Linked DNA regions of Coturnix japonica. The protein of the gene in region 2 interacts with the protein of the main gene of each other region in a biochemical or structural test. Links are inferred from orthologs where the notes say so. Each region holds a gene or a part of one and is shown on either strand. Other genes may lie near its edges. The genes, in order: EXOC2, RALA and PLD1.

Region 1 (8,031 bases), about 15 Mb from region 2:
TTCCATGTCTCAGATCACAGTCAGCACTGTTCTGCTTGGCAGTTAATACCAACTCTTCCAAGTTTCCTCTTTGCCTTCTCCCCTCTGGTGTATGTTAAAATTAAAGATCCGTGGAAAGAAGAAACTGAGTTTAGCAACTTTCCTTTGCTCAAGCTGATATTGAATGGGGAATACTATGAATCAGGATCAATATAATGTGCGCAAAAACTAAGGACCATAGAAAAGGATGAAAGAAAACTATTTAAATGATACTAGCTTTTTAAAATAAAAGTCATACTATATTAGCATTTTTTTTTTCATGCAAATATTAACTATTCATACATGCATTTACTGGGCAGACAAGTTATGCAAATTTCTCCATCTGTGAGCCAAACAAAGCTGCTAACATAATAAGTTCCTTTGATATTAAGGCTGAGGTAAGCAGAATTGTTGCAAGAAAAACACCAAAAAGGTTAAGATTTTCAAGACAAGCCGTGGAATTTAGGTCCATTTTTGATTAATTACTGGACCATGCACATCAATATTATATAGACTACTACAACAAAGAAGTCACAAGTATTTAACATCTTTGTGCCCCTATTTTTTCTCTTAGATAAGAAGCTAAGGGATTGGTATATAATGTTTTGCAACTGAAAGGAGAAAAAGATAGTTTAGAATCATTAATATTGGCCATTTTCACTAGTGAATTTTGCCCTTCACGGATATATACTGCAGGGTCGGGTCTCTCAGGTTTTTGGGAAGGATGAGAGATGGTGAGGTTTTGGAAATGTTCTGGATTTTGACTATGAGTACAAGAAATCAGCCTCGCATTCCAGCTGGTCCCATAGCACTCAATAACGTGTTGTAGCAAAAAAAAAAGTCCATGTATACTTCAAGCTACAACTTACTGACATCACTGTCACATTAAGCACACTGCGAACCCTATACCTGAAGTTGTAATCTCTGCTGAAGAACAAAATGCGAGAATCTTGCAGCAATTAATTTCACAGCACTTATCTGCCACAGCTCTGACTAAGAAAAATTACTGTGCTTCTCAGAAGAGAACATCTTAGTTGGCTTGGGATAAACAGCAACAAAACTAAACACGGGAATTACTACTCATTTTAGGAAAATCAGTAAACTTGTTAAGACTACTTGAGAAACAACACAGTATTTTCAATTTCTAATCCAGGTTATAGATTTAACTCCTAGAAACACCAGGTCTGTAGTTTCCTGCCAATTCCCTTTTGAAAATACAAAGATGTGATGGATTATGACTGGTAGCTCAATTGCTGCCACACCTTTGAAGCATCTATGAGGGTGCATTTCTTCAAGGAACAACACTGGCAGAACTAGACAGAATACAGCTAAATATTCATATAGCTCTTAATGTAAAATAGACAAACTGAATACTTAAGATAATCTCACAGGTCTGTGTTTGAACAAAAAGAATCAGTTTTGAAACTGCACTGGCAAAAAAGAGTAAGAGAACCCTGTGTTATCATTTACTGCATGTCAAGAAATTAGACTTTATCACATGGTACTTTGATGTCCTTCATAACAATACACTACTAGTATACTGTACGAAGAAGAATATAAATGGTGGATTTAACGTGACTTTCTAGTACTATTTCTAGATAGTGGATGGAGGACTATTTCTGGAGGACTGTAAACCTCAAATATACGACTGAAATTTAATGCTTTTCCCATTTAAGAAGCTTACAAGTTCTAAGTTAAAAAATAAAAAAATAAAAAAAATTCTAACAGATACTTTCCTTTTATAATAAAGAAAAAAATATATAGTTCAATATTTAGCTTTGTGAAAAGCTATCAAAATTAAGCAGAGAACAACAACAACCAAAAGCATCATTCACACACTAAAACTTGTCAAAGAAAAGGCAATGCCAAATTCCTAAGTGTCAAATACATATAAGTAACAAAAACATATCCTTGCCTTTTTGCTCTTTAACATAGCTCTCCTTACAGTTGTGCATGAGCTGTAGAATCCACTGATGCTGAGCACCGATGCACTGCCAAGCAGGGTCCCCAGGCGCATGAAGATCAGAAAGATATCTGCAAAATCCAGTCCAAAAATCACAGCTCTGACTTGACACATTAAAGGCCTCATTAAAACAGAAATATCTTCATATGTATTTATACACACATATACACAGAGATGTATAATTTTAAAAATTCAAGAACTTGTACCCAATGCAAATGCAAACTTTGCATTCTCACTTCCTAATTTAGTGAAGCAAAATTCTACTAAAAAACCCTTATAATAATATACAAAAGCACATACACTGAAAATCAGATTAGGTACGTATTTTCTGTTGTGCCTCTAGAAGTGTTCTCTGGTAACCAAGATTTTTATCTGTCAAAGTTGCAGATCAGTATTTCATGTTTCACTTGAAACCTCTGATGACATCTCAAGCATATAAAATATGGTACTTTGCTCCCCACTTTGCACGTATCAATTGGAACAGGAAAGTACAGAAGGAACTAATTTTTGGTGGCTCATTAATCCAACCATGGACATGCATAGGCAAATATAAACTAAGCCCCTGGTTGTTGTTTTTTATTTTCCATTAGGTTGTGCGCACACTGTGGGACTGCATCTTATTTATATGTATATATATATACACTCACAAACACAGGTTGCTCCAAAAGTAATGCCTCTCCTGTTTATTTCCATGGAAACTACAACTGCTACGAAGAGCAAATTCTCAGCTACAAAACACTATTTTTCAACACAGTCACCACCATTACTTCTGTATTTTCACCAGTAATGAACATGTGCCTTCATGCTGTGCTCTCAAATATCTGTCCCAGTGGAAGCAACTCACTGTCACCACTGCTGAAATGCATCACCCACTGCCTCACTGTACTCACATCTACTATTTGCTCCCCAGAAAAGCTGAGGAACACCAATGAATGTCAGTGGGTGCCATTTTTTCCTCACATGGAGGAATTTAATGGCACACCTTTGTTTCATGCTTTTGTGTCCACTGCCTCTCTGTTGCCCTCTGTCATATGGCAACAAATATTACAGAGTATTGGTGGGATTGCCATACCACCACCATCTCCATTATATTCTGCATTAAAAACACAGGACAAATTCAAAAATGCAAGATGCTCAAGATGAAATACACTAACTTCTCTTAAGCAGTGCAGTGAGCGTTTTAACTCCTTCACAGAAGTGATGTTACTATAATAACACCTAAGGTTAATTACGAATGCATTGCAAAAATTCGTCTTCCTTGTCTGCAGTACTTTCATGAACAAAATGAACTGTCAAAGGACAATTGGTGGGATAGATGAGAACATTACACAACCAACCATTTTGACAGGGTGGTATTTATAAACTATGAGCTCATGTCTTTCCTTAACATTTAGGGGGACTTTAGTCATTGTTTAGACACAATATTTAATAAATAAATAAATAAATAAATAAATACGCATATATCACTAGCACTGGAAATAATGCATCTTCTTGCTTGTTCAGCGATATGTTAAACATTACCTTAAAAGTATAAAAACAAAAAAGTTATTTTTAAGGTTTTTCAAGACTAAAATAGAAAGAAAGAAACAGTAGCTTTTTCAAGACACACAAAATGTTTAACACTCCTCATCTTAAAATGTAACTCTAACAAATATGCAATATTTACACGGCACCTAGAAGAATGAGAAGGACTAAATGCACACTGGTCACTGTCCTCATAAACTAACAAAGTAAAAGGGCAGAAGACTCCAGCATTCCCTGCCTGTGAAACTGGGCTGGGTGAACACAAAAAAACATTAAAGACCTCACACAGGTGTCAGATTTCTAAGAATGCTACCTGCATATTGCATTCGGTCTTCAACTTTTAAGATAAGTGGAAAAAAAACACTGAGAATATCAAGCCACACTGGGAGTCCTACCAACACTCAGGGCTCAAAAGCTTGCTAGTAACGTCGTCAAATGTTTCAGAGCATTCTAAATTCTGTTCCCAAGGATTGTAAAGAAGGCTAAGGTCTACTGTTAGGATAAGGTCCGAGCAACTCATGTTAGTAATCCTACCATTGGCTTGGACATAACCTTACAGAATGAGAGCAAATATAGGAATTTTAATGAAAAGTAGAAAAATGGTAAATGTTCATGAAATGTAAAGGACATTCATTATTTAGAATGAATAGTAAAAGAGTCAAAAACAAATTTAAACTCAATTCTGGATTAAAAACTTTCTATTATCTGACTCAAAATGATGCATTTTTAACACCACGCTGAAATGGAGCACAAGTTAATATGCAGTCTATTTTGAGATCTGCATCTTACAAAGGATCATTTCATACATAGCTTACAATGAGATGATTTAGAAGAAGAAATGAACATACCTTTATGATTTTTAAAAATTACAATCTCGATCACTCCATAAACAATCAAACATCAATCCAAAATCATTATATATTCAAAAAATCACAACACAATCTACTTTCAGCTTTAAAAGCAGTATTCAAACTATCATAAAAAAATAGTAACTACCCTATTTAGGAAACAATAAATATCTAATATCATAAATCCAAAGAAGACAAAAGTTGAATGACTACCTTATATAACGTTTCTGATCATGCAGTGTTGATGGAGTTTCAAGGAGTTTATCCAACAGAAGTTCTCTTAAAGCTTCTATTCTGGTTTCAACTTCAGCATAATCTAGGAGTGAGGAGAGGAAATAAATCTCACCCGTGCCTTCAGTAGTAGCATGAACTGAAAATTACATTATTTTTCTAGGACATCAGACACTTTTGGATTTATTATGGGAAAAAAATTAAATATGTACCTGACATTTTCATATACAACAGTTCTATGAAAAAATATCATACTTTGAAATCTTTCCAACAGTACTTTGGAATTATCCACAGTCCCATTTTCAGTCACTGTAACCCTTTTTTCTCTCACCAAATGTCCAGTCTTAATAAGTAAATTTGACTGTGAATATACCTTGCATAGAAAATCTGCTAGAAATATTGTTTAACTTTTCCTATATATACACATAACTTTTAAGGATTAAAATCATATGTCTCTTTTAACTACTATGTGCTTTTTAGCTTATATGCTGAGAATAAACAGAAGTAATACAATACATATCTTACATTTTTTGAATACTTGAACCTCTGTCTTTCCAAAGAGCGACTTGGCCTTTTCGTAGTCATTAATAACCACATCATAATCACCCTTAAAAACAACAATAAAAAACAAATAAACGTTTATATTTATTAAAAGGTAACAGTCATTTCATCAAAGGTTAAAGTATTTTTAAAGGTTTATACCTTCTGGATATTTCTTTCTATATTCAGTGGAAGGTTGAAAAGAAATTTAAAACGCTGAAGAACATTGAGTGCATTTCTTGTTGAATCAGCTTTATCCTTGCGGCCCAGCACTTCTTGGAATAAAGTATCTGCTGTGTTACTGGCTCCTGTTTTAAAAAGGATGAAGTTAAGTGAAATTAGAGCAAGTAAACGGTTTAAATCATAAGCAGATTTTCCTCATTTTAATGAATGGCATCATCATCTAAGCTTTTTTAGAGAAAATGAATAACTATTGCAAAGTTTTTACTGTTTCTTCTGTGCAACAGTTTTTACATTTTACAACTGATGAAATACTATTTCAGAGGGAACCACTTAGCATTTTAATGTGGTAAGACCCCTGTGCAATTAAAAACAATCACTCTTTCCTATTTCAAATGCTTAACTTTGTTGCAGATATTTTATAGCTTGCTTTGGCTCCAGATCTACATTTTTACAACTAAATTATGCATCTCAGGATATGGAAAAAGTCACAGAAAGTTTTCACTCTTAGAAAAGTATAATTTCATTATGTTAATTAATGCTATAGCTTCCAGAGTTAGGACCGCGAATTTTGCAAGCATCCAGTGTTCTCAAATTAATTCTTAAATACAATTAGTAATGTTCAATTTAAAAGAAACACTTTTAGAAGTACTGGTGATTAAATCACAGACAATGGTGTGACTGAAAAATTAACTAGTTGGTAATTGTAACAGAATGAATATTGTTGTCTTCACCGTGCATTTAAACCCTGTTTAGTTTCATCACATACAGGATAAAGGCTAGGACAATAATTACATGCAATTACATTGTGATATTATTCATGGATATTCTTCCACACAGAAATCCTTAGAACCTTTTATGATGGAACGTGTTCTATTTTGTAATAGAGTTTTTCCATACTTCCAGAGAGATTAACAGTATTTCATTTATATTCGCACGCGATTATTTGCATTTTTCAACTCGTGACTTATTTTTAATTAACCAATAAAAGAAAAAAAGAACTGGAAATGTTTTAGCCTTTTTGATCGTTGCATGTAAAAGTTTCTACATTATCTGGTCTGGTGACTATAATTTAAGCAAAGATGAAAAAAATTACATCAGTCTCACTGGGTGGCTTGCATGCCATTTTCTCTAGTCAACACTGTGGGTGGCCTGTTCATGTTAAAAGTAGTCTTTGTAAAATAATTGTTATATCTAAATAATGTTTAAACTTGGTTGAAATTCTAAAGCCCTGATGTAAAAAAATGTTTTGTCACGACAGCTATTCCTACTACATACTATTTAATATAAAATACTTTAACCCACTATGGAGAGATACACAATGAAAACAACTAGCTGGATATCTAAATACAGATCACTGGTGAAGTTTGATTTTATTTTCTCTTGATGCTTTAACAAATGTTAATTTTTTTGAGCCCTTTGAGTAAATACATTCGGTTTGTTTGAATTCATGTGTTTCTCATGCATTCTATTAACGGTCAAGAAGAAACGTACTGTACTCACTACGTTTTATTCACAAAACACTATTTCTTTAATTCAGTGCCTTATCAAATGTCTAATTACTTTTTCAAAGTCAATTGGCAACTGCAACAACTGCACAGTGATTTCCATCTCCAGTTCAAAACTGCACATTCATTTGTACAAAATTAATGATGTAAAATACTCAATTTAAGGAAATGATTTTACTTCTTTTTCCTGTTTTACTTAGAAAATGAAGTGTGTTAAATCCAATGCCTTGATCACATTCAATGCTTTCTTCAGAATAGGTTTCTCTTCTAGGGCTTAGAAAAACATTGTAAAATTTCTTCCCTTCTCTGCTCTTCCCAAATCCCTTCTACATTAACAATTTATCTATTCACTAGTAATGAATAATCTAAAAGTAAACTAGGAAGCTCATGGATAAAGGATGACTGATTATACTTTCCAAATAGACAATATACTTTGTTCAAATTACAGGAAAAAAAAAAAAAAAAAAAAAGATAAAAAAAGCTCTTGTTAAGCAACAGTTGTCTTTTATAGAACCTGTCAAAAACAAAACTTAAGGGAACTTGACTGACCTCCTATAAGGCAATTCTTTGTGAAATGAAGTGCAGCCTATAGCATGTTTTTGTGAATATACATTCTGTAAGTTATTTAACAATAATATCTAGCAATCTAGCAGAAACTGCAAGCAGCTGCAATTCTACCTACGGGAGCAGATTCTACTTCTACTAACTTCTGACATGTCAATCCAATAACTTGGCACATTCTCTTTGCATGCTTGGTAGCTGTAGAAAGCATCCTTTGTCTTAGAAGTCTGAATCAAGCTATCAACAACAATTGTCATTTAAGATATGCACCTACAACCTATGAAGTGTAAAATCCAACTGAAGATTTTAAGTCATTTTTGAAAGCAGACCCTGTAATTCAAGGATTACAGCAGCACTTGAAAGCCTGTTCTTTGCAGAACAGTAACTAAGGACACTTTTGAATGGTCAGACAAGAAACAAAGCTTTGATCCTAAACTACTTTGCATAATATTATTTACTCTTTTTAAATCCTTGTATTCCTACCCCCCTGCCTTCCACCCATCATGACTTGCAAAGTATCAGAAGGAAAAGCAGCCAATTTTTTTTCGCAGCAGAGCCAAACTTAATAACACTCTGAAGTGGCTGGCAGAAGTTCCTCTAAAGATCCAATCTGTATAAGACAATCTGTATTATCTGCATATAGATTTCAGGTATCAAG
Region 2 (8,031 bases):
TATCACTGATGACATCTACTTCTGGTGGTTAGAACAAAATCAGCAATACATAATCAGTTTGAGCAAACAAACACTAATCCAGCAAATTTCCCACTTATTTTCAAGGCCGAGCCCACATAATGCAAGTCTACTTCTTTCATGGTACCTGTAGTTCAACTAGCTTCTGGTGTTTGCTTATGAATCACGTCAGAAGAATTAAAGCAAGACTCATATAACTACCTGAGATTTTTCTTTTCCATTTTCTATCTATATTTTACTGCGGAGACTCAGGGAAATCAGTTTACATTGTGAGAATATTCAGCAATGAACCGCAAAGGTTGAAGAACTGCTACAATTAGTTCTAGAAGCACATTAATGAGGCAGTAGCACATACTGAACATTTCAGTCTCTATGCCCCATGATGCAAGTCTAAACAAAAAGTGCAGCAAAAATAAATTAGCATTTCCTTTAAAAACAGGTTGTCACCCATACAAATACATAAGCTATTTTTAGATTGGAAATCTCAAAGTATGCATAAACTTCATTATTATCAAGTAGCTTAGTAGGAAACAGAAGTTGGAGACAAATCAGTGTGTCACTTGAGAAAAGGCTGTAAGCTCAGGTCTATGACAGAGATCCTTTAAATTACTTCATTCATTAATACAATCTTGCCTTAAAGAGGGCTACTGAAAATAACTTTCATCTTTGTTATTTTATCACAGTGGATCATTTGAACAACTGTAAAACTTCTGCCAGGAAGACTTCCCTCTTTATCTGTCAGGGGGGCTTGATCCATTTCTATACAACAGACAACGTAAGGACCAAAACACTCTTCTACAGAATACAGCAGGCATTTTTATCTGCATTGACACTAATCTCATGTTGACTGCAGCAGAAGCATAAACTTTCATTACAGAGTACATGAGGAAAATAAATGCAACTATGTGTTTCCATCAAAAAATACAACTGCCGTTAGGATGCTAGATGTTGAAGTTACTTGCTTTTGCTTAAACCTCTATTAATGGTATGCTGCAACTGTCACCTTGCTTAAGCCCTAGCAATGTACCACAGTACCTGGGATACTTAACCTAGTGTGAGAAAATGCTCATTTGCTTACTGTTACCAAATTGAGTGAAAGCCCAAACTCACCCTTCTGGAATTTAGGGAAGCAACTCTTTTTATAGAATACAAACTCAAGTTCATATAGTAAACCCTGTAACGTCAGATGCTTTAAGAAAACTAGTAACTAATACCTGGTATTTACAACGGCCAACAAAGCCTCCTTGAGAGCAGCCCAGCTGAAAAGGACTTAAGGGTTCTGGTAGATAAAAGAAACTAAACAGGAGTCAGCAGCTTGTGCTTGCATCCCAGAAGGCCAATGGTATCCTGGGCTGCATCAAAAGAGGAGTGGCCAGCAGGGTGAGGGTGCCTTTCTACTCTGCCCTCATGAGACCCCCCCCATCTTGAGTACCACATTCAGGCTCAGGGCCCCCAGCTCAAGGAAGATGTGGACACTTTGAAACAGGTCCAGAAGATCATGGAAACAATCAAAGGGCTGGAGCATCTCTCTGAGGAAGAAAGGTTAAAGAAGTTGGGCTTATTCAGTCTAGAGAAGAGAAGGATCAGGACAGACCTCACTGTGGCCTTTCAATACTTAAAGGGAACTTATAAACAGGAGGGCAAACAACTTTTTATATGGACAGCAACAGGACAAGGAGGAACTGTTTTAAACTAAAAGAGGGAAGATGAGATATCAGGGAGAATTTATTTATTTATTTATTTATTTTACTCTGAGGGTAACAAAGTACTGGAACAGGTTGCCCAGAGAAGTTGCAGATATCCAATCCCTGGATGGTGTTCAAAGCCAGGTTGGACAGGCAACCTCACCTAGTGCCCGATTTGGTGGCTGGCAAGCCTGTCTGTAGGAAGGAGATGGGAACTACATGATCTTTGAAGTCCCTTTCAACCCAAGCCGTTCTATGCCTCTAATTTATGGATCATCAAATCTGAACTCTATGTAATACATATCTACCTGGATCCATAATGCCACCTGTTCCAAAAAGAAGCCTTGAGCCCTTTAGTAGCCTATCACATGAATGCAAAAGTTACTGGTTATATATATCAAAAATATTTACTTTTTCCCCCCTGCTGCTAAAGGATGATGAAACAGATCCAGATGACCTTAGAACTTCTGCAAGACTGAAATAGGTGGATGTTAACTGCAATTACGCACCAAAACTAAAAGCAACTGAATTGCTCTGCATTTAATTGACTTAATGTTCCCTGCAGAACAACGTAATGTTTTTACTTTAGCACTGAACAATCCACTTCTTTGCAACAACAACTGACAAATGACTACAGTAAAGTTTAAGTTACTGCAAAACAGTACTTTTATTACTGCTTTTACACTTCAACTACTCATTTGTAAGCATTTACATTAGAAAATCTCTGGGTGATCATGTCTACCGAGAGGTATGAAAGAAAAAAATCTGCGCTTTAATCTGAGCTTCTTACTTTCCCCAGATATCTACTACTTTTTCAGTCTATGAAGCTGAGAGTTATTCCAAATGCTATGTCTCAAGAAGTCCTGTCTTCTCAGTAAGTGAAATACTTACAACTAATCAGTCATTTATCATCTTAGAAACAAATATTCTTTGTGCATTCTTATGACCTTCTGATCCAGCCTTTATCCCAGAAAATTCATGAGGCACTTCTGGCCCATTTAAAACTTAAAAGAGTAAATCCATTCTTCATTGAAACAACACACAGGCATGTGGTTAGACAAGGGTAGATAGGATTCCAATCCCTCCCTTAGTTTTCTAAGCCATTTTATTCCTCAAGCAGCATTCTCACTGTCTAGAAGCAGTTTTATCTTCCAGTTACAGAAAACACAAGAAGGCAAGGCCAACACAATTGCCTCAATAACTTGTTAACAATAAAAGGTCTTGTCTAATGACTCAACTCATCACAGTTTAGGATGTGATAACTCTCTATGCCTAATGCATTCTCACTGTTTTATATTAAGCAACTTAGTCATGTTCTCATCACAAGCAATAGGAGAAAAGCATTTGTTTTGAGATCCACCCCCCCCAAAAAAAACAGACTAAATAACTTAAACATGTAAACTATAGACCCATAGAAGTATAAAGTAAAAACTGACAGAGATTCTTTGTATTAGGTGAGTTATGAGGCAAGTTATTACCTTGTCAACATTAGCTCTTGTTTTTGCAGAAGTTTCCACATAGTTAACATTCCACTGATCAGCTCTGTTTTTTGCTTCTTCTATAGAAACTTGCCTTTTATCTTCCAAATCTGATTTGTTACCTACTAGCAAAAAAGGAACGTTCTCATCTTCTTTTACTCTTAAGATCTGCTCCCTAGAGAAAAACAGAAAAGCAAAAAATAAATTACTTTATAAAATACTATTCTTAGAACACAAAAATAAGAATGCGGACTTAAACTCTTCCATTCTTTTTCTGAAACTTAAATAACAGCAAAATTTTAAACCAAGACAGATTATTAGTCTTCCAGGAAGGAAGGAAGATGAATCAGTAACAAATAAACAAAGTTGAACAAGTGAGAACTTAAACTAATGACATTCTCCTTTTACTAAAGATATTACTTGACAGTACTTCTCACTGCCTTTATGCTGCTATTAGTAATGGCAATTCTTAATATACCCAGACTACATTCTTACATTTGACTATTTTTCCTAACAAAATGCATGTGCCACTTTTAAAGCTGATGAAATCAATTAGGTAGTAAACTAATATAGCTTAACAAGAGAAAAATCTTGCCCTTTCAGGAATCTTTCTGAAGTCACTTACATTCAGCCCCTACAGAGATCTTGATTCAGTTATAAGCCAGTTTAAGGATAACAAGCCTGCACATAAGTCAGATTTTTAAGGAAAGATCCTGTCTGAACCACTACGATGAAGAGTTTAAATTTATAAATAAAACCGAGTACTACAGATGCTTTGGTACATCAATCTGAAGAACACTGCTCCTGGAAGACAAGCACTGTCTCCTTCATCTCAGAAAGGAGTACAAAGTCAGCAGTGGAATTTAGCCCTCCATTGTGAAACAGTTTCTGAAAGTTCAAGAAAAAGCACAAAGCACCACATTCCCTTTTCTGGCTGAGGTGAAGCTTACTGGCGGATTTTACATAGAACAGAAAGAAACTGGAAAGAGTTAACAGATCCTTCTGTTAAATCCTTCCATTTGGTACACATCAGAATCCTCTTGGTGGTAAAAGATGTCTTGCTTTTTGTAGCATTTAGTTTTGTTGAGTTAGCTTTTCATTTCTTTAACCAGCAAATGCACATTGGAGGCAGCTTGTAACACCGCATTCAACTAGCCCTCCAGGACTGCCATAAGTAGCATAAGCCTGTAAATCAGCCTAGGCTTTTCTCTTTCTCTCTTAAAGGATACATATACTTATATACTGAGAAAAAATAAATTAAAAAACGAACAAACAAAACCATAGACCAGAAGGGGACAAGCTTGCTGTCTCCCCTCTCCATAACTCCTTCTCCACCCTTAGAGAAGATGCATTCTATGCTTTGTACTAATTAACCTGAGCTATGGTAACATTTGAGGTCCCGGATGACTGGAGGAAGGGTCACATCACTCCCATATACAAGAAGGGGAGCAGGGAGGACCCAGGGAACTACAGGCTGGTGAGCCTCACCTCTGTGCCCGGGAAGATCATGGAACAGATCCTCCTGGACGATATGCTCAATCACACGAGGAACAAGCGAGTGATCCGAGACAGCCAGCACAGCTTCACCAAGGGAAGGTCATGATTAACCAATCTTGTGGCCTTCTATGATGGAGTGACAGCATTGGTTGATGAAGGGAAGGGGAAGACGACCGATGTTATTTACCTGGACTTGAGCAAGGCCTTTGACGTGGTACCCCACCACATCCTCATCCCCAAATTGGAGAGATGTGGATTTGATGGGAGGACCACTTGATGGATATAAGAAATTGGTTGAAAGGCTGCAGACAAAGGGTGGTGATCAATGGCTCTGTGTCCAGGTGGAGGCCAGTAATGAGCGATGTCCCCCAGGGATCTGACTTACGACCGATGCTCTTTAACATCTCTATCAATGACATCTACGATGGAATGGAGTGCGCTCACAGCAAGTTTGCTGATGACACCAAGCTGAGCGATGTGGTGGACATGGAGGAAGGAAGGGATGCCATTCAGAGGGACCTTGACAGGCTTGAAAGGTGGGCCTGAGTGAACCTAATGAGGTTGAACCCCAGGCACCTGTACAGACTGGGAGGTGTAGTCCTTGAGAGCAGCTTGGCAGAGAAGGACCTGGGGGTCCTGATGGACAAAAGACTCAACATGAGCCAGCAGTGCGCTCTTACAGCTTGGAAAGCAAATGGTATCCTGGGCTCCATCAGGAGAGGGGTGGCCAGTAGGAATAGGGAGGTGAATGTCCCTTTCTACTCTGCTCGTGAGGCCCCATCTGGAATACTGTGTCCAGGTGTGGAGCCCTCAGTACAAGAAAGGCACAGAGATTTTGGAAAGGGTCCAGAGGAGGGCCAGGAGGATGGGCAGGGGGTTGGAGCACCTCCCCTATAAGGACTGGCTGAGAGAGCTGGGCTTGTTCAGCCTGGAGAAAAGAAGGCTGCGGGGACACCTCATTGCAGCCTTTCAGTACCTGAAGAGTACCTATAATTAGGAAGGGTGTAAACTCTTTGAAAGGGCTGATAATAGTAGGACAAGGCAAAATGGATTTAAGTTAAAGAGGGAAGATTTAGGTTGGATGTTAGGGGGAAGTTCTTTACTACGAGAGTCGTGAGGTCCTGGAACAGGCTGCCCAGGGATGTTGTGGATGCCCCATCCCTGGAGGTGTTCAAGGCCAGGTTGGATGGGGTTCTGGGCAACCTGATCTAGTAAACATGGACGTTTGGTGGCCCTGCCAGGCAGGGGGGTTGGAGCTTCATGATCCTTGACGCCCCTTCTAACCCAGGGATTAGAGATTCTGTGATCTCTAAGAATGCTTATTTTAATAATAGAAAAGGAAATGATCTGCATCTTACCTCTCTATTTTGCTTAACTTTGAACTGCTAAAATTTTGGGGGAGCGGTGTCTATTTTTACTCTATATATATCACAGCAATAAGATATTTTCCTTCATAGATAGCGGAATGAGTGTTTTAAATAGGCTCTCAAGCAAAATGAAACACTCAATACAATGCTGTCTAAATCTCCCACCATTACAAGGGTTTTAATACCTCGTATGCTTGAAAAACATCCTAAAAATAATAAAACAACTAGCCTGCTAAATCCATACCTAGTTGATGAAGGAGAGGCTGTGGATGTGATCTACAAAGATTTTATTAAAGGCTCTGACCCTCCCTGCAGAAGCTGGCAGCCCATGGCTTGGACAAGTGCACTCTTTACTGCCTAAAGAAAACTGGCTGGAGAGCCAGGCCCAAAGACTAGTGGTGAATGGAGCTAAATCCAACTGGCGATCAGTCATGAGTGATGTTCCAGAGCAGTCAGTACTGGAGCCAGCCTTATTTAATATCTTTATTGAACATCTAGACAAAGGGATTGAATACATCCTCAGTAAGTATGCACATGACATCAAGTTTGGAAGAAGTGCCAATCTTCCAGAGAGCAGGAAGCCCCCACAGATGTGGTTGGATGAGCTGAGGCCAACTGTACGACATCCAAAAGACCAAGTGCCAAGTCTAGCATTTCAGTTACAGTAATCTTATGCATTGCTCCAGACTTGGAGCCGACTGGCTGGCAAATCACATGGGCCAACAGGATTTGAGCGTGCTAGTTGACAGTTGACTGAACACGAACCAGCAGTGTGCTTAGACGGCCAAGAAGCCAGTGGCATCCTGAGTTGTAACAAATATTGTAGTGAGCAGGATCAGGGAGGTGTCTGTCCCTCTGTCCTCAGCACTGAGGAGGCTGCCTACTCAGAGATGTGATTCTTTGCACTGTAGTGTAAGCATCAAGCAACAATGATCTAGAAAGGGCAGCAGCCTTCTGAATGTTACTATGCATCTGCTCTGTTGCAATAACCTCTTCGGTATTCAGCAACAGAGCAGCAAAGATATCTGTAGTGGTACAAAGATAATAGAAGCGTGGTTAGGCATCTATTCAAAGCAACGTGACTACAGTCATCTATTCTAAACTACCTAATGATATTGCAAAAAAAAAAATATATATATATATATATATATATTTATATATTTATATATATATATATAAATAAATTACAAGAACCTCACCATAATTACAATAACTTGCCTTGTAGCCTACCTGAAATCTGCAGTAGCTGCAAATGACTCCAGCTCTGTGATAGAGAAAACACAAAGAAAGCCTTCTCCACTTCGGAAGTAGTTATCTCTGATTGCTGCGTAATCTTCTTGCCCTGCTGTGTCCAATATATCAATTTGGACTTCTTCCCCATCCAGAACCACCTTCTTCCTGTAGCTGTCAGCTTTGGTGGGCTCATAATCTTCTACAAACTAGAAACAAAAAATTTATCACTTGAAAACCAGGTCTATAGAGGGCAAATGCATTATTTTCACATAAGGATATAACAAACATTTGTTATGGTTACAGTAATGAATAAATAAGCCTATGTATTTAGGTTACGTGAAATACTCAAGTTATTCAACATAGCTAAAGCAGGCTCTCCATCAGCTCGAACAATTTACAGGATTTTGCTTTTTTCAGCCATTACAAGGAAATTTTAGAAGCAACTGCAAAACGTTAATGGCCACGCACTTAATGTCTACTTTCAGTTAAGCACAGCACCTGGCTGCATTTCATTATGCTATCAGGCAGTTCTGACTGAGTATATTTAGTATCAATTTTGTAAGGCACACTGAAGGCATAACTTCCATTTCTTAGTCAAAAAGAATTACTTTCACTGACAAAAAAAAAAGTAAGAAAACAAGATTTTTTTATTTTTTTTTCTTTCTCCAACAGCAACATAAAAAAAAAAGAAAAGGAAAAAAGTCACATCTCAGGCATCAAGCAACTTACTTAAGTGAAGAAGCTTTGAGTTTT
Region 3 (8,810 bases), on a different chromosome or scaffold from region 2:
AACACTGCTTCCAAAACAATTATTCTCTGACAGCGAATCTCCTTAACGTTTATCAGCAATACCTCTAAAAGCAGGAGCTAATTAGCACTTCCCGCACTAATGACTGCAGCACAGCTTCTTGCCTCTCCGCTATCGATCTCTGCAGCTCTTCTCCACCAGGACTGCTGCCAAGCCAGGAGCACACCACGGGGATGCTCAGTGCTGGGAACACCAGCAGCAGGGGATGGCAGTTCCCATCAGTAACATGGATGTCTGCTGAGATTCCACTCTGCACTATGGCTGGGAGCCCGGCCTTTCCCAAGGACTCCTTTTATTTGCTTCTCTAAGCAGTGACACGAAGGGAAAACATCACTGCGGTGCTTGCAGGGGAGCATCACTGCTGAGCTCATGCTGATGCACGCACCCAGGGCCAGCCCTGAGCTGCAGCAGTTTCCCAACCCCTGGGATGCTCTCACTGTTGGAGCTGTGTTTCAGCCTTTGCTGCTGATGACAGGAATGCACATCCCGTGCCCCACCTCGGGGAGCACCACCTCCACCAGGAAGCCGACCATTAGGTGCTCATCAGTGACTAACACTGGCTGTCACCTGACTGTTGGCCCTTGGTTTGGGTTCCTAGGGCAAGGATGAGAGGCGCAGCACTTGGGAGCATTGGCAGACACACAGCTCTTGGCACAGGCTGTACAAGCTGTATAGAAATCCTACATCTGGAAAGCTTGCCAGGAAGGCAGCATGACACAAAGGATCATAGAATGACAATGAACAGAGACAACCAGGACTGCTGAGTGGGGATGGTGTGCATTTCTGCATCCTTATATATAGCCAAGCACGTCATATACATGCAGGACATATTTCCATTATCAAAACGTATACATCCCATACATCTCCCAAGGCTATTCTGGGTCTGCCGGACCGTGGGGAATTTGGGGGGCCCCGTCTGCAGGAGGGTTTGGGTCCCAGCAGAGGAATGCAAACACTCTGAGCTGCACGTAACAGACACCCAGAGCCAGGCACAGCGAGGGCAGCTGCTCTGGGCTCAGTGTAATGGCATTTCTGTGCCCGCTGCCATTGATGTATGACTGAACACAAAGGGATCGATCTCCAATAGCTCTGCTCGTTCCCGGATCCCAGTGAGCAGCTTTTCTTTGCTCACAGTACTGTTGGAAATCACACACGGAAGTATCCAAAGGCGCTTTGCTGGGCCATTGCCTGCAAGAAAGCGTGCTGCAGGACAGCTTAGTTCTATGTGGGGATCACATTAGAAGTGCTTGCCCAGCTTTTGGGTCAGCATCTGAGGAACTAAACTCAGAAAGAGGCAAACTCAGCAGAAAACGGCCACGTAGAAAGAAGGAACTTGCAGGAAGGGAATAGCAGGAAGTGCTCTCCTGTTTCTTGTTTAAATACAACTGAACACTTGCAAATTTATTTGGTGTAGCTCATTTACAGACAGCATCAATACCGACAGCTTCCTTAGAAGAAAGCAGACACCTCAGACTTCTTTTTCACCCTTCCCTCTATCCATCACGATGGTGCAGGCACTGGGAGATGCTGCTGAGCCCCAGTGGAGCTCATTCCTCCCCTGTCCCACCCCAGCACAGGATGTCCCCATCACCTTATGGCCCTTCCTAGAAGCCAGCAGAGCCCCAAGGTTATGACCTGCAAGCTGAGCCCTCTGAGCTCAATGCGAGATGGAAACCTGCCCACTATCAGCCCCAGGTTAGTCACGTTCTTCCCCTTGTTTTCCATCCCAGCCTCCTGGTACAGTGATGCTCTCTAAGAGGTTTCTGCAGACAGTTATATTCTTTCTGCACATTACAAAAAAAGAAAGAAATAGAAAGAAAGAAAAGAGAGGCTGCTTGGCAGAAAGAAAAACATTCGGTGTTTTGAGGGAAAAAAAGCACCCTGCCAGGGCTCAGACTGCACTCCTATCCCTGGTGCTTTCTGCCAGCAAACAAAATGGCTCATTTGCCACAATTGCTGCCAAAATGTCTTGGGATCGGTCACACCACAGACTCTTGAAGGCACTTGTGACTCACTGCTACTCCACACTGGGAGGGCTCACAGCTGGGTGGGACCCCTGCAAAAAATATCAGTTTGCTGGGAACTTCTGTCATGGAAAAACACATTTTACAGCATCTCACTGGGGCTACAGGAATAGACGCTTAGAGAAAGCGGAACGAGAGACCAAGATATTTCCCTCTGAAAGGACACAGTATGTGCTGCCTGCTCTCTGAGTCGCTCCCATCTTCTTTGGCTGCAATGGAGACCTGGGCATATCTGCATGTTTCATGCTGGCCAACCGCACTGTGTAACTCTGCTTTACTCAGATAGAAAGAGACGATGCACAGCCAACGCTCACAACATGGGTTGTGCTGGGGGTGGTGGTGGGAAGAGAAAGAAACATTTCAGTTAAAAAAGGTGATCCTTTTTGGGAGACGTGTTGGTGAAGCGGCTCTGTGCCATATCCCTCCTATGTGTCCATGACCCATGTGCCCCGAGGCACGGGGAGCGCAGAAAAGCAAGTTCCTGCACAACGAGATAAGCAGAAACAACAACTGGATGTGAATCATCCACTTGCACGGACTTGGACAGAGCGTGTCATGGTGCTGATCTGTGGGATATTGTCTGCCTCATAGTGCCCTCTGTGTCCCCGAGCTGTGCTGGAGCGCTCCATCCCCGCTGGGAAATGGCTGTGAACTGTGCACTTTCTTTTCTGCTAAATGCCTGTTCCAGCACTGCATTGCCTCCTTACCGCACCCTTTCTCTGTACACAGCCTGCTCCTTTGGGCTGTGGACCATTTCATCCGTTAGCTAAACCTCATCTGCCAAAAAGAAGAGATGAAGGACAGGACACTGTTCTTGCACAAAGATAACAAATGCAAACTGGCTGCACTGCTGTCAAAGGGAAGCATTGTTCATTTGCATATGGTCAGCATCGTGCCCCCAGAGCACAGAGGGTGCTGAAACATGACCATTTGGAGACCAGAGTGCTGTGAATGCCACATATGCCCAACATGACTCCATGCAGCCATAGGACGCTCATCAGGGAGATGCTACCACATCCATGGGGCTGCAATCAGCAACATCCCCATCTAGTCTCACTCTCCATCATGTTTTCAGGCACATGAGCCTGATAACCAACTCAAGACCATACAATCATTAAAGTTGGAAAAGACTTCTAAGATCCTCAAGCCCAACCCCAAGCCATTCCCCCATGCCCACTGACGATGCCTCTAAGAGCCACATTGCCATGGGTCAAGAACATCCCCAGGGATGGTGACTTCACCACTTCCCCAGGCACAGCCATCTTATCTTGGCCTTACAAACCTGCATTTTGAGTCCTCGCTCTCACTGTGAGAGCATCAGGCACTAACTCCACCTGTAAATATATGTCTGCCTCCTTCTTGCTCCCCCAGGCATGAGAGCAGGGAAGGGACACGTGTCTGCTTACCCCCAGACACCAGCTGCCTCCCACCGCTCTGGGCTTCCTATGCCATGTGGGTGGGAGAGCAGCACAGTGCTTGTTTGGGAGAGAAACACTGGGAACAGAGCTATTCTCCTCCACCCAACTCCTTCTCCCCCCCATCTTCCACTGCCCTACCAAATACCTGTTAAAATAATCACATACAGATCTGTACAGGAACACCTGACCACAGACTGAAACAACAAACCACATCAGCCTTCTTTTTGGTGAAAAGTGGAGTAAGCAAGGTTTGGGGAAGGGAAAAAGGATGGAAATGTGATTTCCATCAGATAGCCCCAAAGAGCACAGGAAACAACACAGGCCATCCCATGCACAGCAGAGCAAGGCGTGAGGCCATACTCTGCTCCTGGTGCTCCTGTATCAGGCACGCCATCAAACTGACACCCACAGAAACTCAAACTGAGGGCTCAAGTGAGGATTTCCCTCATGGAGGACAAACCCAAGAGCCTGTAGGAACACCCATGGCTGATACCTGCTTTACGAAGCTATTTCTCAGGAATAAAATGGTGGCAGCACCAACAGCGATGGTGTTCCCCTGATACTTCAGTCCCTGAAGATTTGCTAACTTGCTTTAAACCCATTTCCATGGAGGGAATTTGTGTACCAAGCCAAGTTCAGCTCGTAACTAAGCAAGGCACAGCCACACTTCCTTCATGCATAAAGACGTTTCCCGAATCACTGTTGGAGAACAGCCCTGCTGTAAAACACGGGATCCTTCCTCTGCTGCAGCCACACCTGCGGTCTAAAGAGCACCTCACCAATTACTGGGGATAACAGTGTCAAGCTGACACAAGCCCTTACAATCGCTAGTAAGAAAAGCAGTGCAACTTTCTCGTCGAGGCGTGTGATTTCAGGATGCTTCTTGAAAGAGTGAAGTCACCAGCCAGGCTCACCAGCCTCCTGCTTTTGTTTTCTTTCTTTCTTTCTTTCTAACTTTAATTGTGTCTTCAGCAGCTGAAGGAAACTGCAACTCTGATCCCAGGAAACTCCTGGATCTGCAAGAGCTCATGGGACACCGCCTGCCCCCATCATAGCAACAGTTCTGAGCACAGAAACCTTGAAAATCACTCAACTGGGTCTTTTCCAGCAAGACCACAGCCTGAAAACCCATCTCCAGGAATCCTCAAAAAGGAGGATGTTACATATCCGAACAAAATTAAGTGTGCAGACAGGTGTTTCAGTGAGAAACCCAAGGAGAAAAGTTCAACCTAAACAGAAGGATCATCTGCAGCACTGAAAGACAGGGAAGGGCAGCCAGGGGGTTTCCAAACTCTGGGTCAGGGCTGAGGCTGCCACGAGCATCCCGAGTGCACAGGTACAGTCCCCAGAGACCTGTGAACCATCAGCATGAGCTCATGCTGCCTGGTGCCATGGACTAATTTTTGAGCAGTTAAAGACTGTTGAAACGGAGTTCCCACTCTCCAAACAGCGAAAGGAAGCAGCTAAGAAACGGAACGCCATACCAAAACAGTGCTTGTTGCAGTGCCGTGGTGCCATCCCTCCTCCGCGGAATGTCACATTTAACGCGGTTTTACCCGCTGTCGGGGATGGGACCGTAAGGAAAAGCGATCTGCCCAAAACATCCACCCAACGCTTGAGGCACCGTGCGTTCACCTCGAGGCAGGGCGCGGACACTAACGCACAGCCCAGGGCACGCTGCAGGGTCACTGCTGGAGTAACCAACAGCGCAGGGCAACTCTCAGGGGCTCCGGATATTAAGCAGCAACCTCTGAAAGCAAAGCAGCATCACGCCTAATAAAGACAAAACGCAAACAGTGGAGAAGACTACCGGGGTGCCAAGGGGGCCGCTGCGGGGAAGCCGTCGGGTCTCGGCCCTCGGGTGGAGCTGGGCAGCACACGAGGTGCTGGGGTGTATGCGGGACATGGCCCCGAGCTCCTGACCCCAGCCCGGCACGGAACTACGGAGCAGCAGGAGCAGCAGGAGCGAGGCATCCCGAGCGCACACCGCGGTGCGGACGGCACCTCTCGGGAGTGAAGTTTGCTCCCAGCACAGCGCGGGGAGGGCCCGCAAATGAACGCCCCGAGCTCAACCCTCAACCCTTCCCCTCCCCGCACCGACAGGCAAAGCAAAGCAAAGCAAAGCAAAGCAAAGCAAAGCAAAGCGAGCCGCCCTCCGCGCCGCTCCGCACCCACCTCTTGCCCCCGGGGCAGCGACCGCTCCATGGCGCCGTGAGCGCTCGTCCCGTCCCAAGCTGCGCTGTGCTGCGCTGTGCTGTCCCGGAGCGGTGGGGCCGGGCCGCACCTCGCCCCGCAACACCCCTACACCGGCCCCAATCCCGGACCGGCCGCTACCAGCCTGTGAGCAGGGCGGGCTGCGGGAAACCCCTCCCCGAGAGCAACGGGCGTGGGACAGCGCAGGAAGGGAAGGAGGGAAGGAGGGGCGGGGGGAGGAGGAGGAGGAGGAGGTTGTGGCTCGTCGCGGGGCAGGGTGTTCCGCGGTCGAAGGAAAAATAATAAGCGAGGAATGCTCGTTTAGTAGGGGGAGAAAGTTGGCTTTTTCAAGGCGGAAATTTGCTGCACGCTGGGGGTAACACCGAGCGCAGCTCCACCGGGAGGACGCGCCTTCCTCTCTTGTGCCCTCTCGGTTGCTGCAGTAGGAATAAGCCGGCTGGACACCCAGCAGGAACCTCTGGGTAGGGGAGCAAACGAGAAACCCAGAGCAAATTAACAGCGAGTTCAACACACAGGCAATGGTGTTTTTAACGTAATAATTACGGTCACTTACTGTCTGTATCTGAGCAGCATGCAAATGCTGTATTTTTCATGCTGCTCCCCATACTTACTCTCAAAGAGCTTTTGAATAGGCAAAGAAGCAGATTTTTGGGGAAGGGACAGATAGAAAAGCCCTGAACTGACAAATGGAAAAGCAAAGCCCTCCACATGCTGAGCGGCTCTGGCAGCCGTGTTGGGGTGCTGGGAGCATTCACAAACCTCTCTGCAGTGCCACAGCCTCCCCTGCTGCAGCCACACAGGGCCATCATGGTGACTTATCCCAGGGAGTTCAGCGTTCCCACACTGGTGCCAATGTTAAGATGTCAGTATGGATGTTATGATAGTTTTCCTCTTTAAGGGATTTATTTCATTTCTTAAACAGCCCCGTGTCAGCTCAGCCTGTTCAGAGTGGGCTTCCCCTGTCTTGGCTGACTGGTGGCTCACTGAGAGCAGTGTGGGGGATGCCCTTCATGCCTGAAATCAGACTGGCCAATCTGAGCTGGGTTCCAAGCAGCATTGCAACACTTCTGTTGGTGCTGAGCTCCGACACTGCTCTGCTCAGCATCACAGGGAGATGTGAATGAAGGTGGTATCAGGCAAGGGGACAGCATGGGCATCTGTAGCACTCAGCATCAGGAAAGCACTGGAGACGAGCAGAGGGAACTCTGAAGCAAAGAACAAGGGAAATGGAAGCAATAGAAAGTCACCCTGTGGTAGCGGCATCCCCATCTCATTTTAAAGCGTAGGCAAAGACTGGATGTGCTACCTCACACTGCTCATGACAACAGGGGGTGGGCAGTGTTGGAGGGCAGGTGATGGAGCACCCCTTAGGGCACTGCCTGCAGGGGATGTCCTAACTCTGCCACCTGCTCAGGCTCCCCTGCTGACCCCACAGCTGCTTGGACCATGCCTGCTACCACCCCCAGTTGCAGAGAGGGGACAGCACACACCATGCCCACATCTGGCTAGCTGAGTTCTGGGAGATATTAATGAATTCATGAACAGTAACTCGGATAACACATACTTAGGTTAGGCTTACTTAGAAACCTCTTGTTGAGCACTATGGCAACAATGTACCACATTTCCTCCACCCTGAGCACTATTCCCATCACCTTCCCTGACCCAGAGGCAATGCACAAAGCAGATGAGTGGTGCATGCCAAGTCAAATACCTCAAGCCCTAAAGAAACACAGTGATACTGGGTGACCGCAGAGCAGGCAGGGCTGGGGATTCCTTTATTCTCTCCTCCCACTGACTTTTGGCCTCCAGAACTGCCTGTGCAGCTCTCCAATGATGCTTCCCACTGTCACAAGGGTGCCACGTGTGCTTATCCAAAGTGAGTGCACAGTGTGCACAGCCACACTGCTGGGCTCTGGAAAACCAGGGTGGGAATGTTAGGGACAATGTCAGCGGCATTTTTAATATATATATACTTTGGTCTCACCCCTGGGCACTGCAGTGTCCAAGCATGGGAGAGGGGAGGAACAGAAGCCAGCAGTGCTCCCAGAGCTGTGCCAAGCGCTGCTCACAGCCACAGGCAAACAGCACGTGGAGGGAGAAAGCTGCCATTGGCTCCTGCAGGCCTCACAAACAGCATTCTTGCAGCAGGGAGAGCAGCTTCTTCCGCACTGTTTCCCTCCTCCCATATCCTCCCAGGGAAGAGGCTGCCACCCCCCGGGAGGAAAAGGCAGGGGAGGAAGTCGGGCACTGCGCCGTGCCACGCTGCCTCCTGGGAGCTGTAGTCGTGTCTCATGGCCAAGTCCTGCCCTGTGGCACCCCCCGTGGCACTGCAGCTCCCACAGCCCCATCCCGGCCAGGGGACAGCAGACCCCCAGGTTGGGTTGCTGTGAGATGACTCTGTGGCTGCTGAGCACGATTGCGCTTGGCCGGGATATTTCAGTTTGCTTTCACACCTTCCCCTTCTCGCAAAATTCCCATGGAAACAAAAACAAAGCTCTTGCTGTTTGGGTGTATTTTTTTTTTCCTCTCAAGGGAGAAGAGTGAATGAAAGAGGAAAAAAAACCTCGCCAACTTGCTCTGGGGCTGTGTGGGTACCGGGATGCCCTCATGTGGCCGCAGGGTCAGTCCCAGGCACTGGAAGTGGAGCTGCTGTGCTGTGCAGCATTGCTCTGAGCTTGGAGCAATGCCAGGCATGTTGGTGAGCCAACAGCATCTGGGGGAAGGAGAGTGCAAACCGGCTCATATGGTGCTAAGCGGAGATGCGCACTGGCTTGCTATTTAAAGCTGAGCAGGAGCAGGAATGGCAGGTTTGAGTGAGCTTGGCTAGTCTATCCGAAAACAATTTTCATAGTCCTCTCCAGCCCAAGATCTCAGGCTGCCCCTCATCTCCCTGTGGGGCCAAACCATCCTTCCTCCCCTATCAGTACCCCCAAACTGTCCCCTGCCCAAAGGCAAGCAAGATGCAGCCCGAGGCCAGGGTTTGGGGATGCCTTGGTTTTCCCATTTCTACATCAACAGAATTGTTTCGAATGTATTCTGAGATGTAGTTCATTAAATGGGTGAATTACACGTTTTATCGTTCATCCATAGCAGGTTGTCAAGGAGGTACGTTATTATTGGCAGCTAGAAGGGAACT

Evidence for each region.
Region 1: the proteins of RALA (region 2) and EXOC2 are reported together in a solved structure, tested with the Homo sapiens proteins (2 studies listed by BioGRID, with this or other methods). The link is inferred for Coturnix japonica from reciprocal best matches to the Homo sapiens genes RALA and EXOC2.
Region 3: the proteins of RALA (region 2) and PLD1 form a complex in vitro, tested with the Homo sapiens proteins (2 studies listed by BioGRID). The link is inferred for Coturnix japonica from reciprocal best matches to the Homo sapiens genes RALA and PLD1.

The regions. Positions count from the first base shown.
Region 1 is NC_029517.1:62,002,767-62,010,797, reverse strand, and holds part of EXOC2 (exocyst complex component 2), read right to left. Parts: intron 5,433-8,031; coding exon 5,287-5,432; intron 5,192-5,286; coding exon 5,110-5,191; intron 4,670-5,109; coding exon 4,567-4,669; intron 2,053-4,566; coding exon 1,934-2,052; intron 1-1,933. UniProt on the Homo sapiens protein: Component of the exocyst complex involved in the docking of exocytic vesicles with fusion sites on the plasma membrane.
Region 2 is NC_029517.1:76,745,808-76,753,838, forward strand, and holds part of RALA (ras-related protein Ral-A), read right to left. Parts: intron 7,485-8,031; coding exon 7,276-7,484; intron 3,357-7,275; coding exon 3,182-3,356; intron 1-3,181. UniProt on the Homo sapiens protein: Multifunctional GTPase involved in a variety of cellular processes including gene expression, cell migration, cell proliferation, oncogenic transformation and membrane trafficking.
Region 3 is NC_029524.1:17,245,210-17,254,019, reverse strand, and holds the start of PLD1 (phospholipase D1), read right to left. Parts: upstream 5,858-8,810; 5' UTR 5,636-5,857; intron 1-5,635. UniProt on the Homo sapiens protein: Function as phospholipase selective for phosphatidylcholine. Implicated as a critical step in numerous cellular pathways, including signal transduction, membrane trafficking, and the regulation of mitosis.